Arabidopsis thaliana: one gene and its partner. Each later gene encodes a partner of the first gene's protein in a complex. Each region holds a gene or a part of one and is shown in the gene's direction. Other genes may lie near its edges.

Evidence for each region. The genes of interacting proteins can lie anywhere in the genome.
Region 2: TAF15 (region 1) and TAF4B share a complex: the UniProt entries of both Arabidopsis thaliana proteins name them as parts of the TFIID complex.

Annotation. Positions count from the first base shown.
Region 1 is NC_003070.9:18,625,623-18,637,422, reverse strand, and holds TAF15 (TBP-associated factor 15), read left to right. Parts: upstream 1-5,383; 5' UTR 5,384-5,544; intron 5,545-5,722; 5' UTR 5,723-5,760; coding exon 5,761-5,865; exon of another isoform or gene 5,866-5,881; intron 5,882-5,975; coding exon 5,976-6,304; intron 6,305-6,420; coding exon 6,421-6,618; intron 6,619-7,213; coding exon 7,214-7,297; intron 7,298-7,673; coding exon 7,674-7,755; intron 7,756-7,868; coding exon 7,869-7,992; intron 7,993-8,408; coding exon 8,409-8,605; 3' UTR 8,606-8,868; downstream 8,869-11,800. Other genes in the region: STP9 (sugar transporter 9), read right to left, coding at 1-524, 867-1,189, 1,301-1,439; AT1G50290 (uncharacterized protein), read left to right, coding at 9,161-9,565; AT1G50280 (Phototropic-responsive NPH3 family protein), read left to right, coding at 11,131-11,193, 11,279-11,800. UniProt on the Arabidopsis thaliana protein: TAFs are components of the transcription factor IID (TFIID) complex that is essential for mediating regulation of RNA polymerase transcription.
Region 2 is NC_003070.9:9,645,559-9,649,158, reverse strand, and holds the start of TAF4B (TBP-associated factor 4B), read left to right. Parts: upstream 1-1,782; coding exon 1,783-1,824; intron 1,825-1,834; exon of another isoform or gene 1,835-1,943; coding exon 1,944-2,010; exon of another isoform or gene 2,011-2,280; coding exon 2,281-2,513; intron 2,514-2,603; coding exon 2,604-2,705; intron 2,706-2,957; coding exon 2,958-3,018; intron 3,019-3,148; coding exon 3,149-3,600. Other genes in the region: STZ (salt tolerance zinc finger), read left to right, coding at 174-857. UniProt on the Arabidopsis thaliana protein: TAFs are components of the transcription factor IID (TFIID) complex that is essential for mediating regulation of RNA polymerase transcription.

The DNA of each region.
Region 1 (11,800 bases):
GTAATAACCGCTGAGATGAGCGAGGCATCATCCGCAAAACCGAGAGTCTTAAAGAGAACGGGGGCGTAGAACATGATAACATTGATACCAGTAATCTGTTGGAAGAAAGGAATCGCAGAACAGAAAACAAGAGCGGGTCTGTATTTTGCCTGTTGGAAAATGTTCTTCCATGGATTATCCACTTTCTTAGCAGCCTCACAAGCATCACACAGATCTTGAAACTCCTCATCTACGTTATCAGCTCCACGAATCTTTTGCAACATCTCTCTCGCTTGTTCGTACTTGCCTCTCTCGAGCATCGAGTTTGGTGTATCGGGCAAGACAAAAGATCCAATAACCATAATAACTGCCGGTACAGCGGCTAAACCCAATGATACTCTCCATCCGTTCTTAGCCATTTGAGATGTTCCGTAGTTGATTAAGTTTGCAATCAAAATCCCGATGGTTATAGCCATTTGAAACCCGATGTTAAGTGCTCCTCGGATCTTCGCTGGAGCCATCTCCGAGAGATAAACAGGCGTAGACTGGAAAAACAAAGTTAAAGATGGATGAGCCATACTGAAACCAAATATACCTTACTTTATTTCATACTAAGCGCTAACAATATTTTTATAGCTAACAAATCAAATATCGTGCAACCAAACAGCAACGAATAAACCAAAATAAACCGCAACTAAATTTTGATAGTATTAATTATTTATTTGTATTTTAAAACTGAACCTTAGATGTAAGTTGATTCTAGTTTGGAAATTGGAACCACTCTGAAAAATTGAGAAATTTTTGAACCAAACCGAGTCCAGAACCAGAATGTCTTGAGCTAAACCACATAATAAACACACCATGACCATGTTGAGTTGTTGACTCACCTGATTGGCAAATCCAACACCGACTCCGAGCAACAATCTACCAACGATGAGCATTGCGACATTGGTAGCAAATGCGTTGAATAGAGAACCTATGAGGAAAGCAACCCCTCCAACAAACATGGAGATTTTGCGTCCGTACTTCCTTGTGACAGCCGAAGCTACAAAGGAAGACGCGAGTGCCGCGAGGTAGAGTGAGGAAGTGAACAACTGTAGCAATTGGTTATCGAATTTGCAGTAAGCAGTCTCGCGCCTTGCTTCGTGCATTTGCTTATCCACCTCCGGGAAAAACTTGCTCAGAAACTCCTCCATAGATGTCACTCCACCTATACAACAAAAGAAGTCACGTTACATTCCCCGAAGCTAGAGTGGACAGCGAAAGCGAACCAAAATAACTCAACCCGAAGAAGAAAAAGGCGAATGTGGAATTTACGAACCTGAGATACCGAGGTCATAACCAAAGAGGAGACCTCCCATAGCGGCCACAATACATGTCATGATGACAAAGACGGTGACTCCGCCTTCATAGCTGTTTCCTCCACCACCACCTTCTGATACAAAGGCTCCTCCAGCCATTATTATTTATTCTTCACTTATTGATTGTTAGTATTATTGCCTTTTGCTTTGTTATTCAAACAAGAACTAGTGAGCTTATGATCCAAAACTGAAGAGCTTGTGAGCTCCTTAAATATAAGAATTTTCGTTATCTATTATTAGGAATCGATTGTGATATTAGCTGTTTTAGATTTATCTTAGCTTATGAATAGGTGAAGTGGTTTTGGTATTTTTTTCATGTTCTTCAAACCCAGTTTTAGTGGAGATCTTACTGTCTTTTTTTGACAGTTTCTTTTGTTTTTTTACTGACAACTTCCGCTCATTTCTCTGTAATTTTTATTACATAAAGACTCTAAGAGATATGTTGAAAAAGACAGTCTAACCCTAAAATAGGATCTTGTATTAATATAATAACAGTCGCATTTAGCTGTGAACTAATTGTGATTTCGTTCAGTACGTATATATAATATAGTCTATTTGGAGACATTTCATTTCTAGTTTAGTTTGGTTCATATATTTAGGATTGATTATTAGATACACGTCATTGTAGATCGTTGTTCCAGCTAATTTGAGAGAGAACGTTACAAAGATAATTGAAAATGAAGAAAAAAACAAAGTAAATATATCTACGTAGACAAAAATGTTCATTGTCATTATGAACACACCGTACGTTCTCTAATAGAATAGGTTTTAAGATATTTCTCATCTTTGTAACTCTGTAATATATATATGCAAATTGAAAAAGAAACAACAACAACAACAACGTTCCCATTTTTGAATCATGTCATTATGTCAATCTCGGTGTAATTAACAATGAGCTGGACGAAGAACACATAGCAAAACCTCCGAGAATGAAGATTGGATCAGTTCAACATCCTAAGCCTTGGTCATCAAATATATATCAGGCTCATGGACGACAGAAGTCCGAGTTTGTAACATGAGAAAAGATATTACAAATTAAGTTTATCACTACGTACGTACTTGATAAGTCTAAATGAAAAGTGATGGAACAAGAAATCTTTAGAATAAACATGTCAAGTGATCATGACATGATGCAACAGCCATGAACAATTATCAGCCACCCTTTCATTACGTAATTAACCATCACATTAAATCTCATGAAGACTTTCTTTATCTCGGCTGTCTCCTGATTAACCGAACCACGACTTCTTCTTCTCAAGAGCTCAAGTGGCTTTTTTGCTTATATTCACAAAATGAATTGATGGCTATTAAGCAAGAGTGAATGAGGATCAAACAGTGCACATTCAAACTTTGGGTCCAAAATCTTTAACGACCATATTCATCATTTAGCTAATTTTGTCTATAAATTGATTATAGCATTTAAAATCAAAATTTCTTTTATTTCCAAGACAAACAGTCATACATATATATGCCAGTTAGCTGTTGTTTTCACCTTTGAATCTTAGAATTTATTTTTTCACCAACGTTGGACATGCTCTTTATAAGAGTTTGGAGGGCTTTTAGTTATGGGGCAACTAAACCTTGCACGGAATTTTCCTTAATTAGTTCATGTTTAAATGTATCATAGTTAACTATGTCATGGTTAATCCACAAAAAAAAAAACATATTGTGTATGTCCAACTACTCATCCATCCTTTTAGGTTCATCCTTGAGAACCTTGCCATATATCTACTTCTTTTTGGGAAGTACGCTCGGTAGTGGAATGGATAGTTGCTTTTTTTTTTTTTTTAAATGGATAGTTGCTTCATCCTCAACTTTAGCCACAAAATCTAAAACTTGGATGGCAGTTTAATATTTTTGATCTGTTAAATCTCGGAGGCGCCAAACTTTTCGTTTGGGTGAAGAGATCCTTTGATAACTCCCAATACACATAATGATCTGATACCAAATTTGTTTTTATTAGTGTCATCTTATATAACATTTTTTATTTATGATAAGATGTGAATATATTACCAAAACGTAGTAAGAATTTTATTTTAATGAGATTTACTAATATAAAGTTTTTTTTGGGTTTTATTTAAATGGGTTAGGAGTGCAATTGAATCATTTTTTCAACTATTTCAACTTAAATAGTAAAAAATTGATTGAATGTTTATTCAACTCTTTTAATTTCTTCAATTACGTCAACCATTTGCACTGGTTTGTCAATTACAGCAATAAGATTTTTCTCTGAAAACTCATTACAAGAAAACTTGTTCTATTCTTTAGTGAGTTTTTAATCTACTAATTATATATATGAAAGTTAGCCAACTCTCTCCATATGATTGACACATCATCACTTTAACATTTGCCATGTATCCACTGAATAATTAATGTAAGCTCTTCAACTTTTAATTTATAGATTAATGATGTATTTATTATTTAATTTTACATATTTAATTGTACTAATACTAAATTTATTTTGTTATTAAATGTTTTTCAATAAAATAATTTGATTGATTTTCTCATACTCAAAAGATTTTTTTCTGTAATCTTAACTCAAATTATGAGTGTATAGTAGTCATGGATTAATTAATAGTTTGAATAGTTTGCATATTGTTATATATCTATATAATAAATCGCCGAGGGTGAAGAGTATGTAAGAAGTTTAATCATCAAATTCTTAGGTTTCGAGAATCCCAATATTACCTTCTATTTAATTAGTTTAAGACGAACATTGTTTAGGAATTGTGTGTATAATGCATTGTTGAGAATGTTGTTAGAAAAAATATATTTTAATATTAAGAATAATTACTTATTATATAAGTAAATGATTAGATAATTAAAAATTATATTTAAATTAAACGATACAAAAAATTTAAAAATACCGCAGCGTAGCGCGGGTGATTACCTAGTCATAGTAAAATTAGTAGTGACAGATTTTAAAAAATGACAAGCTTATGCTAGTAACTTTACAAAATAGATAGCATTATATAAATATTTTACTGTAGTATGAGTCAATACTTTTTTAATTATTAATTTAGTCAATATATGTTAGATGCAAATGTATTTTTTTTTATTGACCAATACTTTGGTAGTATAATATTAGTAGTATTAGATATTATTGGCTATAAATAGATTCAACATTGAAACACAAATCATATATATGAAAGAAGACTAACTCTCTCCCACAACTTGACACATAAGCACATGAGAGCTTGCCACCTAGACTTCATAAAATAAGTAATACATAATTAGTAATTAATTCAACATAACAACTAAAATAGGAGAATATAATTAATGAGAACTTGAACCATCACTCTTTCTACATTTTTAATTCAATATATCCTCTTTAATTTTGAGATCCACTTAAGTGGCTAAAGTGATGATAAAATCCAAACATGTTACACATATTCCTGGCCTAAAAATTAGACGATTATTATGAAAGAAACTAAATGAATATGCAGATTAAATATATCTAAGCTTTTCGATATTTATGCTAAGAAAACAGGTAATTTGAAAGATATTTGAGGAGCTATCCTTATAACTAATACGTAAGATATAAGATTATGACAAGAACTTAACTAAACTTTCTAAGAATATCGAGTTGAATATGCTTAGATTGAATATGCAAAGACATGATTAATAAAGACATGTTATATTTTTAGTGTAAGAAATAATTTTTCTAAAATTTCACTGTCTCACAATCTATACATATAACTAAAAAAGCAAGGATATATAAATTCAAAAAAAAACTAAGAATCTAAAACAACAATAAAAAACAACTCAAGCACATTCGTTTTTCAGATGAACTAATATAGTTGGACTTTTCAAAAACAATTACAAAACATATTTATGTTTCAAAACCTATGCATTCAACTTTACTTTATATAAACAGACATTATATAAAACAATTAGTAAATAGTAATACGTAAACCCGCACGTAGTGCGGGTACTCATCTAATTTGTAAATTAATAATTCCTCAATTTGCACCCAAAAAAAGAATTCCTTAACCACGAAAAAAATAAAAAAACAAAATTACAATTTAAGGGGGAAAGTTATATGAAATTGCAAATATAACCACCAAACAAACAATCGACTATCGAGGTTACCCTTAAGAAAATCTTTATTCGCAAGATCTCTCTCTCTCTCTCTCACTCGACGCACTTTAGAAAGAAACCCTAGTCCGACGACCTCTCCTTCGCCGCTGAATCCTCATCGCTGGTCAGATTTCTATCTATCTCGCTCTTCTATGTTTCCCTATCTCGTTGGTCAGATTTCGAATCTTCTTTTTGTTCTCATGGTTTTTGAGCTCAAAACTTTGGGGTTTCAATGTCTCGATGTTATTTCTTAGCGAGGTTTCAATGTTGGCTAAGTGAAGTTTTGGTATTGTCATTTACAGATTCTTGGCGGCTTTCTTTTTGATGAAATTGGATTACGATGGCTGGATATCCTACTAATGGATCAGTCTACGTTTCAAATCTCCCCTTAGGAACTGACGAGAATATGTTGGCTGACTATTTTGGGACCATTGGGTTGCTTAAGGTATGGTATTGGCCAGGTACTAATTGTTGCTTTTGTTTTGACGTCATTGCAATCTTTTATAGGTCACTAGATTTTCGAGTTTCTTACATTTTTTTCTACATTGCTTTTAGAGAGACAAACGAACTGGTACTCCTAAGGTATGGCTGTACCGGGATAAAGAAACTGATGAGCCCAAGGGAGATGCTACTGTTACCTATGAGGATCCGCATGCTGCTTTGGCTGCTGTTGAATGGTTCAATAACAAAGATTTTCATGGAAACACCATTGGAGTTTTTATGGCCGAGTCGAAGAATAAAAATGCTGGTGATGCAGTTGAGTTTGTTGAATTCGATGGAGGTGCTGAGGAAACAAATGGAGGTGCTGGAAGGGGGAGGGGTCAGGCTGATTCTTCGGCAAAGCCATGGCAGCAAGATGGTGACTGGATGTGCCCTAATACAAGGTCTGTGATGTGATATCGGTGAGGAGCTTCATCTAGCTCTTGTTTCCGTTAATTTGCTAGTTTTTATATATTTTATAGTTTCTAGCAGTAGTGTTCTCATACTCTTTCATTGGCAGTTGTACAAATGTGAATTTTGCATTCCGTGGGGTTTGTAACCGCTGTGGAACTGCTAGACCAGCTGGTGCATCTGGTGGCAGCATGGGTGCTGGTCGTGGAAGGGGTCGAGGTGGAGGCGCTGATGGTGGGGCCCCGGGGAAGCAGCCCAGTGGTGCTCCTACTGGTCTCTTTGGTCCAAATGATTGGGCTTGTCCAATGTAAGCATTCCGATTAGGTTTGAAATAGTTAGTTCAGTTTCAGAGGATAATGAGCGTTTGGTACTTGATTAAAACACATCGCAAGAAACAATTTATATTCAGTAGCAAAAGAGAACATTCAGATGGCATATAGCGTTGCTGGATATAAAATTAATTTGTCTTATGTATGGAAGGAATATAGCTTGTATATCAATGCTTTTGATGATGTCAGTTGACTCTTTACTTAGAAAGAAGTGATGGCCCGCTCTGCTGTGCTGTGTCTCTTAAACTGGTCCAAATTATGTGTGGAGGCACATATTTTTTCCTTCTTTTTTGAATGTTGATTCTAATTTCGTAATTTTCCTTCAGATGGCTGTTAATCTGAAAAATGTAATTTGAAACGTGGGTAGGTTGTAGTCTTGATCCTTCTAAGAAGTTATATTTGTGAAGATAGGCTGCCTTCAATTTTCTGTGTCTGATACAAAAAATGGACTATGTTTTAGTTTAATTGCAAGTTATGCTATGTGTCATCGAGTAGCTTAACTAAGAGGCTGCACTGTGTGAATGTGAGTTCTTATGCATAATGCACTTTTTCTTTTTGCGCTAATTCTTTCAGGTGTGGCAATGTCAACTGGGCGAAACGTCTAAAATGTAATATCTGCAACACCAATAAACCTGGTCAGAATGAAGGTGGTGTGAGGTATGACTCAAAGCCAGTGATAAGATTGCCTTTGTATTGTTATCTTGCAATGTTCGAGCTGAGGATTTGGATTATAAATGATTTTACAGTGAATGTAGGAGAGGTCGTAGATTTTCTGTTCGATGTTTGTAGTTTTGTTGTCAGCAGGGTATATTTATTCTGCTTTTAGACAGGGCCTAATAGATACCTGGGAAAAAGTCTCAATACTCTCTTCTGCAATTTGAACGAGTGCTTGTTTTCTTCGACAATTGATTTATCCCACTTGTAATGTTTTATTTTGGCCAAATTAGAGTTGCATTAAGAAACATTAAGGTTTGAGTTTGGAAGGTTGTTTTTATCTAGACCAGTGCTTATTCATTTTTTTTTCTCTAAATAGGGGAGGCCGTGGTGGTGGTTACAAGGAATTAGATGAACAAGAATTAGAGGAAACGAAGAGACGCAGGCGTGAGGCTGAAGAAGTAAGATATGCTTTTCCTGAAGAGTTCTTTGTTTTTTGTTTTTTTGTTGCAATTCGGATGAGCTCTCAGTTTTTTGTATATTCCATTTGACTTATACGTCTAATATATTTCAGGATGATGGTGAAATGTATGATGAGTTTGGGAATCTAAAGAAGAAGTACCGTGTTAAAACAAACCAAGCTGACACCAGACCTGCTGTTGCTGCTGGTCGTGCTGGGTGGGAAGTCGAGGAACTAGGTAAGTTCTGTTTAATTTTAACTAATATGAACTAAATCTATGCAATCATCAAATAGGTTGAGCTTATGAACAGAACCTTTCCACTATAATAGAGATTTATTTGGCTCGATCTATATCTACTCTCTGTGTATAGTCTTCAAAGAAAGTTTCTGCTTGTCATCTAGACACTTGAGTGAAACTTAACATATATGCGGGGAGGGATTTGTTTGAAATTTTACATTAAGCTTGCAGCTAACTTGCCTATAGCCCAAGCCTAGTGGGGATCTCCAATAAACAGTGTTGTTCCTTGTTAGAGTTTTCTTCTTTTCACTGAATAGATATAGAGGAAGATAGAAAAGAATGTTTATTGCTGCTTCCCCAAAAATAGAAAGGTCATGATCCAATGTAGTTGTTCATAATTTATATGAATGTGGCAGGTATTGATAAAGATGGAAGAGAGAGAAGCAGAGACAGGCAAAGAGACCGTGGTAGAGATCATCACTACGATAAGGATAGACGCAGAAGCAGAAGCCGAGAGAGGGAAAGAGGCAAGGAGCGTGACTATGACTATGACCATGATCGGGACAGAGACAGAGACTACGGTCGCGAACGTGGAAGCAGGTACCGTAACTGAGAGATTACTCATAAGTGTTAGGGTTTAGTTTCTCATCTGTTTTGTCGACTTACTTTTACAACGGTATCATTACAATGTCTTCGCCTTTTGTTTACTTATTGTGTGAAGTGAAACTCATTTTGGTTTGAATCAATGGCTATTGTTTTTCACTTGTTTTGGTCTGATTATGTTCTGAGAATACTCCATGTTTATCGTTTCGAAAATTGGTAATTATGGCAAAACATGGTTAGCGACGTCAATTGCTAATTTAGACGTGTATTAAGTATTATTTTGTCTTTTGTAGTATTATTTTTAGTTGTCCCTTTGTTTTTTTTTCCATCGCCAATCATTTCATCGCTGTATGATTTTAATGGGAATAAAAAAAATAGAACAAGAAGATTTTTGTGGACAATATAGTTTCTGAAACTATAATAGGATAAGAAAAAATTAAGCTTATTTGTGGGGATATATATTAATGTCATATCATTGTCATAAACATGGTCGGCAAAACTTGGGACGGCAGTTTACCAGAATAATCCGGTCGACAGAATTCAACAGTTCCTCTCTCTAAAAGATATGAAGGAGATTAATTTTGGCTTTGTTAGCAAAGATGGCCGGTCCTCTTCTGGCAAATCCGGCTTTTACAAGCGGTTTTGGCCGGCTTTTATCCTTCCTCCGCCGTTCGATCGGTTGTTCTTACCGATTGCTTTAGTTTCTTTTTCAGTTTTTCTTTCAATAATTTCTAAAGATTTCAATTGGAGATTAATTTTAGGTCATAATAGCCTAAGATTAAGTTTTCGGATTTGTATCTTTAGAAAGTTTGATTTGCAGAATTACCTCAAGTATGAAAGGAAGTTTTGTTTCCAGCATATTGGGATTGCCTGTAGCCGTTTCTACATGTTTATGGAGCTTCGATCGATCAAATTTGAGGAATACTCAGATTTTTCTTTCCTCATTACCTGTTTTTGCCAAATCTCTTGATTGATGATTTTGGAATTGAATTCTCTGTTTGTGTATCCTCCCTTCTCTGTTTAGCAGTTTCCGGTGAGAAAAAAACAAAAATCGATGTTTGCCCTTTTTCGACGTTGATTGTGTTCACCGGATCGGAGTCTTTGACGGCACAGGATGACAGGAACGTTTCATCGCTTCTCTTGCAACACGTGTCTTGTTATACGATCGTGTTTTGTTAAAGAGATATCCTTCCTTTAAAGAAATGTAACTAAGTGGACCTTTGTTGGGCTGTATTCTGTGGATCATTAATAAACATAATCTTTCCAGTGAAAAAAAAAAAAAAAAACATGGTCGGATATGGGAAATACGATGAAAAAAGCTCGTCATGGACTCGCACTTAAAACAGGAAAATCTTTTTCGTCTAGACCCCACTTATTCACATGCACTACGACATAATTCCAAATTCTTTTAAAAAAAAAGAAGAAGTTAATAGAAAGAGTGACCAAAGTACAGTATATGATGATATTTATAACATACAGTTAAACTTCTATAAATTAATAGTCGATAAATTAATAACCTTTATAAATTAATAAATTTTTCCAATCCCGAATTTGTACCAGTGTAAAAAGTGACACAAATCGATAAATTAATAAGATAATAACTTTTTTGAAAGTTCTATGTAAATATATGGTCCCATCAATATCATAAATTAATAATTGTATAAATATATCAATTATATATATACATTATATGTAGGAATTTTTCTGAAATATAATTCTAATATTTTTTTGCTTAAATTTGTATTTATTTTTATTTAAAATTTAGTTCTCGTATTTTACTGTATCAAAAACTTTTGGTGTTGTTTTCTAAACATGATATTATTGTTTAGTTGTAATTGATTCTTGAAAGATATTTTCTATAATGAAAAAAATCCTATAATTTTTTTTGAAAAGTTACTAAATTAGGAAAATCTCTCTATAAATTAATAAATATTAATTTATCGATAAATTAAAACCTCTCTAAATTAATAAAATTTTGTAGTCCCAACATTATTAATTTATAGAGGTTTTACTGTATGTTGTGTTTAGTAATGCTGTATTAATTTTTTTAGTGACCTTTCAAACACTTTGAAGTTTTGATATTCATGTTTGAGTTTGAAAAGCTCATGTACAATATGAACCGAATACTTGACAGTGAAAAATAATTATCATAATTTCTTAAAAGTCAATCCTTCTCAAAGATATAGGAATCAAAATTCTACAGCATTCTTTTAAAAACAACATAACAAGACAAACAAAAGAAATCAATTTATGGGAATTTGAGAGACTTTGGAATTTATGTGGTTTTATTATACTAGCTCAACATAAACTTTGTCTTACTTACCTCTAATTTCTCAAACTTAGATTCAGTTTATATATTTTTGTGCATTTTACAGGTGTAAATAAAGCCAAATGAAACACTATATATATCCACTCATTTACATGTGCCCACTATAATTATTGCTCTATTCAATCCAAGAAAAAAACACAGAGGAAGAACAGAAAAAAGCTCACAAAGTCACAAGACCTCAGTAGGCTTCCTAGTTGTTCTATGAAATGTCTCCTCTCAACGATCTTAAGATCAATCTCAATGGCCAATACACATTCTTCCTCAATCAGGTAAAGAACCAAACCTAAAACTCAGTTCAAAAAACCACAGTCTTGATTATGCTCTGTTCTTAATTCTCTATGTGCTCTGTTTTAGAACGTGATTTCAAAGTACTCTGGAAGCTTGAGGAAGATGATTAAACAGAGCAAAAAGAAGAGAAACAAGAAAAAGAGAATCATCACTATCGAGATTAATGATTTTCCAGGAGGACCAGATGGGTTTGAGCTGGTTTCAAGGTTCTGTTACCACAACGGAGAAATCTTAATCGACGTCTCAAACGTCTCGACTTTGTACTGCTGCTCTGTTTTTCTAGGCATGTCGGAGAAGTTCTGTTTCTCTAATCTCTTCCTTCAGACAGAGAAGTTTCTAGAAGAAGTGTTCTATGGGTCTTGGAGCGACATCGTTTCGTGTCTCAAGAACTGCGAGCAAGTGTTCTTCCAAGCAGATTCGTATGGTCTTGTAGATAAACTCATTTTCGCAGCTTTGAACAAAATCTCTCAGAATTCAGACGATTTTTCTTCTTCTTCGCTTTCTTCCTTCGCCTCTTCTCTTTCTCCTGAGATGGCCAAGAACACGTCAGAATCAGACGGTAGGTATATTTCGCGGTCTGTTGCTTGC
Region 2 (3,600 bases), 9.0 Mb from region 1:
CTTTCCTACCACTTGTCACGCAACTTCCTTCTCCACACTCCACCTACTACTATATATTTACACACACTTTCATTACTTCTTCTTCAGCAATTAAACAATTTCTTCACTGCAATTCACAAGCAACCTTCAAACTAAAACTCGAGAGACAAGAAATCCTCAGAATCTTTAACTTAATGGCGCTCGAGGCTCTTACATCACCAAGATTAGCTTCTCCGATTCCTCCTTTGTTCGAAGATTCTTCAGTCTTCCATGGAGTCGAGCACTGGACAAAGGGTAAGCGATCTAAGAGATCAAGATCCGATTTCCACCACCAAAACCTCACTGAGGAAGAGTATCTAGCTTTTTGCCTCATGCTTCTCGCTCGCGACAACCGTCAGCCTCCTCCTCCTCCGGCGGTGGAGAAGTTGAGCTACAAGTGTAGCGTCTGCGACAAGACGTTCTCTTCTTACCAAGCTCTCGGTGGTCACAAGGCAAGCCACCGTAAGAACTTATCACAGACTCTCTCCGGCGGAGGAGATGATCATTCAACCTCGTCGGCGACAACCACATCCGCCGTGACTACTGGAAGTGGGAAATCACACGTTTGCACCATCTGTAACAAGTCTTTTCCTTCCGGTCAAGCTCTCGGCGGACACAAGCGGTGCCACTACGAAGGAAACAACAACATCAACACTAGTAGCGTGTCCAACTCCGAAGGTGCGGGGTCCACTAGCCACGTTAGCAGTAGCCACCGTGGGTTTGACCTCAACATCCCTCCGATCCCTGAATTCTCGATGGTCAACGGAGACGACGAAGTCATGAGCCCTATGCCGGCGAAGAAGCCTCGGTTTGACTTTCCGGTCAAACTTCAACTTTAAGGAAATTTACTTAGACGATAAGATTTCGTTTGTATACTGTTGAGAGTTGTGTAGGAATTTGTTGACTGTACATACCAAATTGGACTTTGACTGATTCCAATTCTTCTTGTTCTTTCATTTTAAAAATTATTAAACCGATTCTTTACCACATATTTTACAAACGCGTTGAGTCTTTTTTTTATCTGAATAAGCATAAAGTGACACCACTACAACTCTGTTTTTGGTTCTGTTTTTTTCAAAAAATTTATAACACAATTAAGCATAATCAAGAACGTTCTAGTTTCTACTACCATCCACATATTGTTCTTTCTTATATTTTGGAAAGCTCTAAGCAAATAAAAAGAGTTGTGATATCTTACGGAAGACTGCCAAAGAAAACTCAACTTTCATTTTTCTTTTACCAAAAGAATACCGTAACTTTCAATTGAAAAAAGCCTTTCTTGACGGGTCGTTTGTTTTCTTTAGTAGCACTGTTTAATTAACGTAGATAATCCCTTCTTTAATTTGGTGAATTATCTACGGGAAGTCCAAAACTCAATGGTCATAAACGTGTATCAAAATTCATCTAAAAGTTAATTAATTTTTTTTTGCAAAAGTCTGATGCTAATATGAATAACTGTTTAAGAACTCCAACATTATATTCAAGAAAAATAAATTTTGATATACAAGAACAAGCCCAGTTACCGAAAAGAAGAACAGAACGGCGCGCAGTGTTTTATCCAAAAGAAACAACTACCGAAAAGAAGATCAACAGAACGGCGCGCAGTGTTTTATCAAAAAGAAAAAACGACACGGTGTTCTCGCAGAATCTCCCTTTATATAAAAACTTGCGGAATTTGGAATCTTATTGGATACAACAAATCGTTTCCTTGAAAATTCCCTCTTCGTTTTGAGCTATTGACGTTTGGTACCGCGAGATTCCTCCATGGATCTCTCCATTGTCAAGCTCCTCGAAGAAGACGAAGAGGTTAGGTTTCGAATTTCCCACTCTCATTTTCATTTCCGTACTGTCTGCGAAAATCCACGCGCTATCTTGTTCTGTGGACGAAGCTCCTAAATGTCGATTCCCGCTAATCGTGTCGTTAGGTTGACTCTAAGCATTCGGAAGATGACTTGCAAATGTTTCAGGACTCTCTGATTCGAGATATTGAAGGTTCGTTTTGGACCCTAAAATTCATATGCGAAACTGTGGAATGTATCAAAACAGGGAAATGCCTTTAGATTTCTTTAGTGATTTAGGTTCACGAGTCGTATTTTTGTGGTTTGTCATGTATCTTCATGTTTCACTTGATGTTAACTGTTGAATGTTGATGGATGCAATTAGATTGTTAGTTCTTGATGATGCTTTAGTGACGGTTAGTCATAGAAAAATATTAGAGCATACTCATAATTGATTTTGGTGCTTGAACTCATGTGCCCCAAGGAAGTAACTTGAAGTCTATAAACAATACTACTGGTAATGAATCAGAAAAACCGCAACCTCGGTATATGAAACTGCAGAAGATGAGTAGCAAAGAGACTCCTTGGGTGGAAAAGACTGTTGACCCTGTGAATCATAATCTTAGATTAGCACGAGTTACTGATTTGCTTCGTACCGTGGTAGACCACCAACCCGGCAAAAAGACGCATTGTCTTAACCTGCATTATAAACTCAAGGTGTGGCTTTACAGTTTACATCCATGAATGAATTGGCACTCTGATCGAAGTTTCTTAATACATTACGTTTCTTTTCATACTTGATTGCAGAGAAAAGAACTTACAATGGAAGAGTTCATGCGACAACTGAGAGATCTTGTAGGTGATCAGATAATCAGATCGGTAATTAGCCAACTGCCTCAGTTAAAACCGGTATTACCCTTTCCATTTTCTTAGCATTTATAAGTACTTTAATGATTTTCATTTAGCAGCCTCCAAGAGAGTTTCTTGTTTTATATGCTTCCTTCTCTGTATATGAACATGTGCTGAGAAAGAAATCTCACTTCTGAACCTTATTAAAAAGGAAATAACATAAAGAATTCTCACTTTAATAGTATAAGCTGAATACTTCTTGTCTTGGAATTGTGGCTTACTGGTTTCAGAATGAACTGTATGTGTAACCAGGGAAATATGGGGATCAAAGTACCTGGACGCTCAAACCATGACAAAGTGTCTAAATCTGCTGGTATAACTTATTTAGTTGATGCCATTTACTTTTGCAATTATCATAGATCATCTTAACTTTCTGGTAGATCTTATCTTATGATTTCCTTGTAGCATACAAAACTAATCCCAGATACAATCATTAACTGCAGAATTCACTGCTCAAGAATCTGATCCTCGTGAAGTTCATGTTAACCAACTGTCTTCTACAACTTCAGGCACCTTAAACAGTTCAACTACTGTGCAGGGATTAAATAAGCATCCCGAGCAACACATGCAGCTTCCATCAAGTTCTTTTCATATGGATACCAAATCTGGAAGTCTTAATCCATACCCAGGGACAAATGTCACTTCTCCTGGTTCATCATCGAGAGCAAAGCTCCCTGATTTCCAGCATAGGGAAAACAATCAGAATGTGGGAATAGCCAGTGTTGGAGGACCAACCAAGTCTACAATAAACATGACGACAGTACCCAAGTTTGAGAGGCCAACTTTTGTAAATGGTCCAAGTAGGGTTCAGGATGGTCCTATATCCGACTTCCCAAAGAACTCATCCTTTCCTCTATATTCTGCTCCTTGGCAAGGATCAGTCACCAAGGACCAT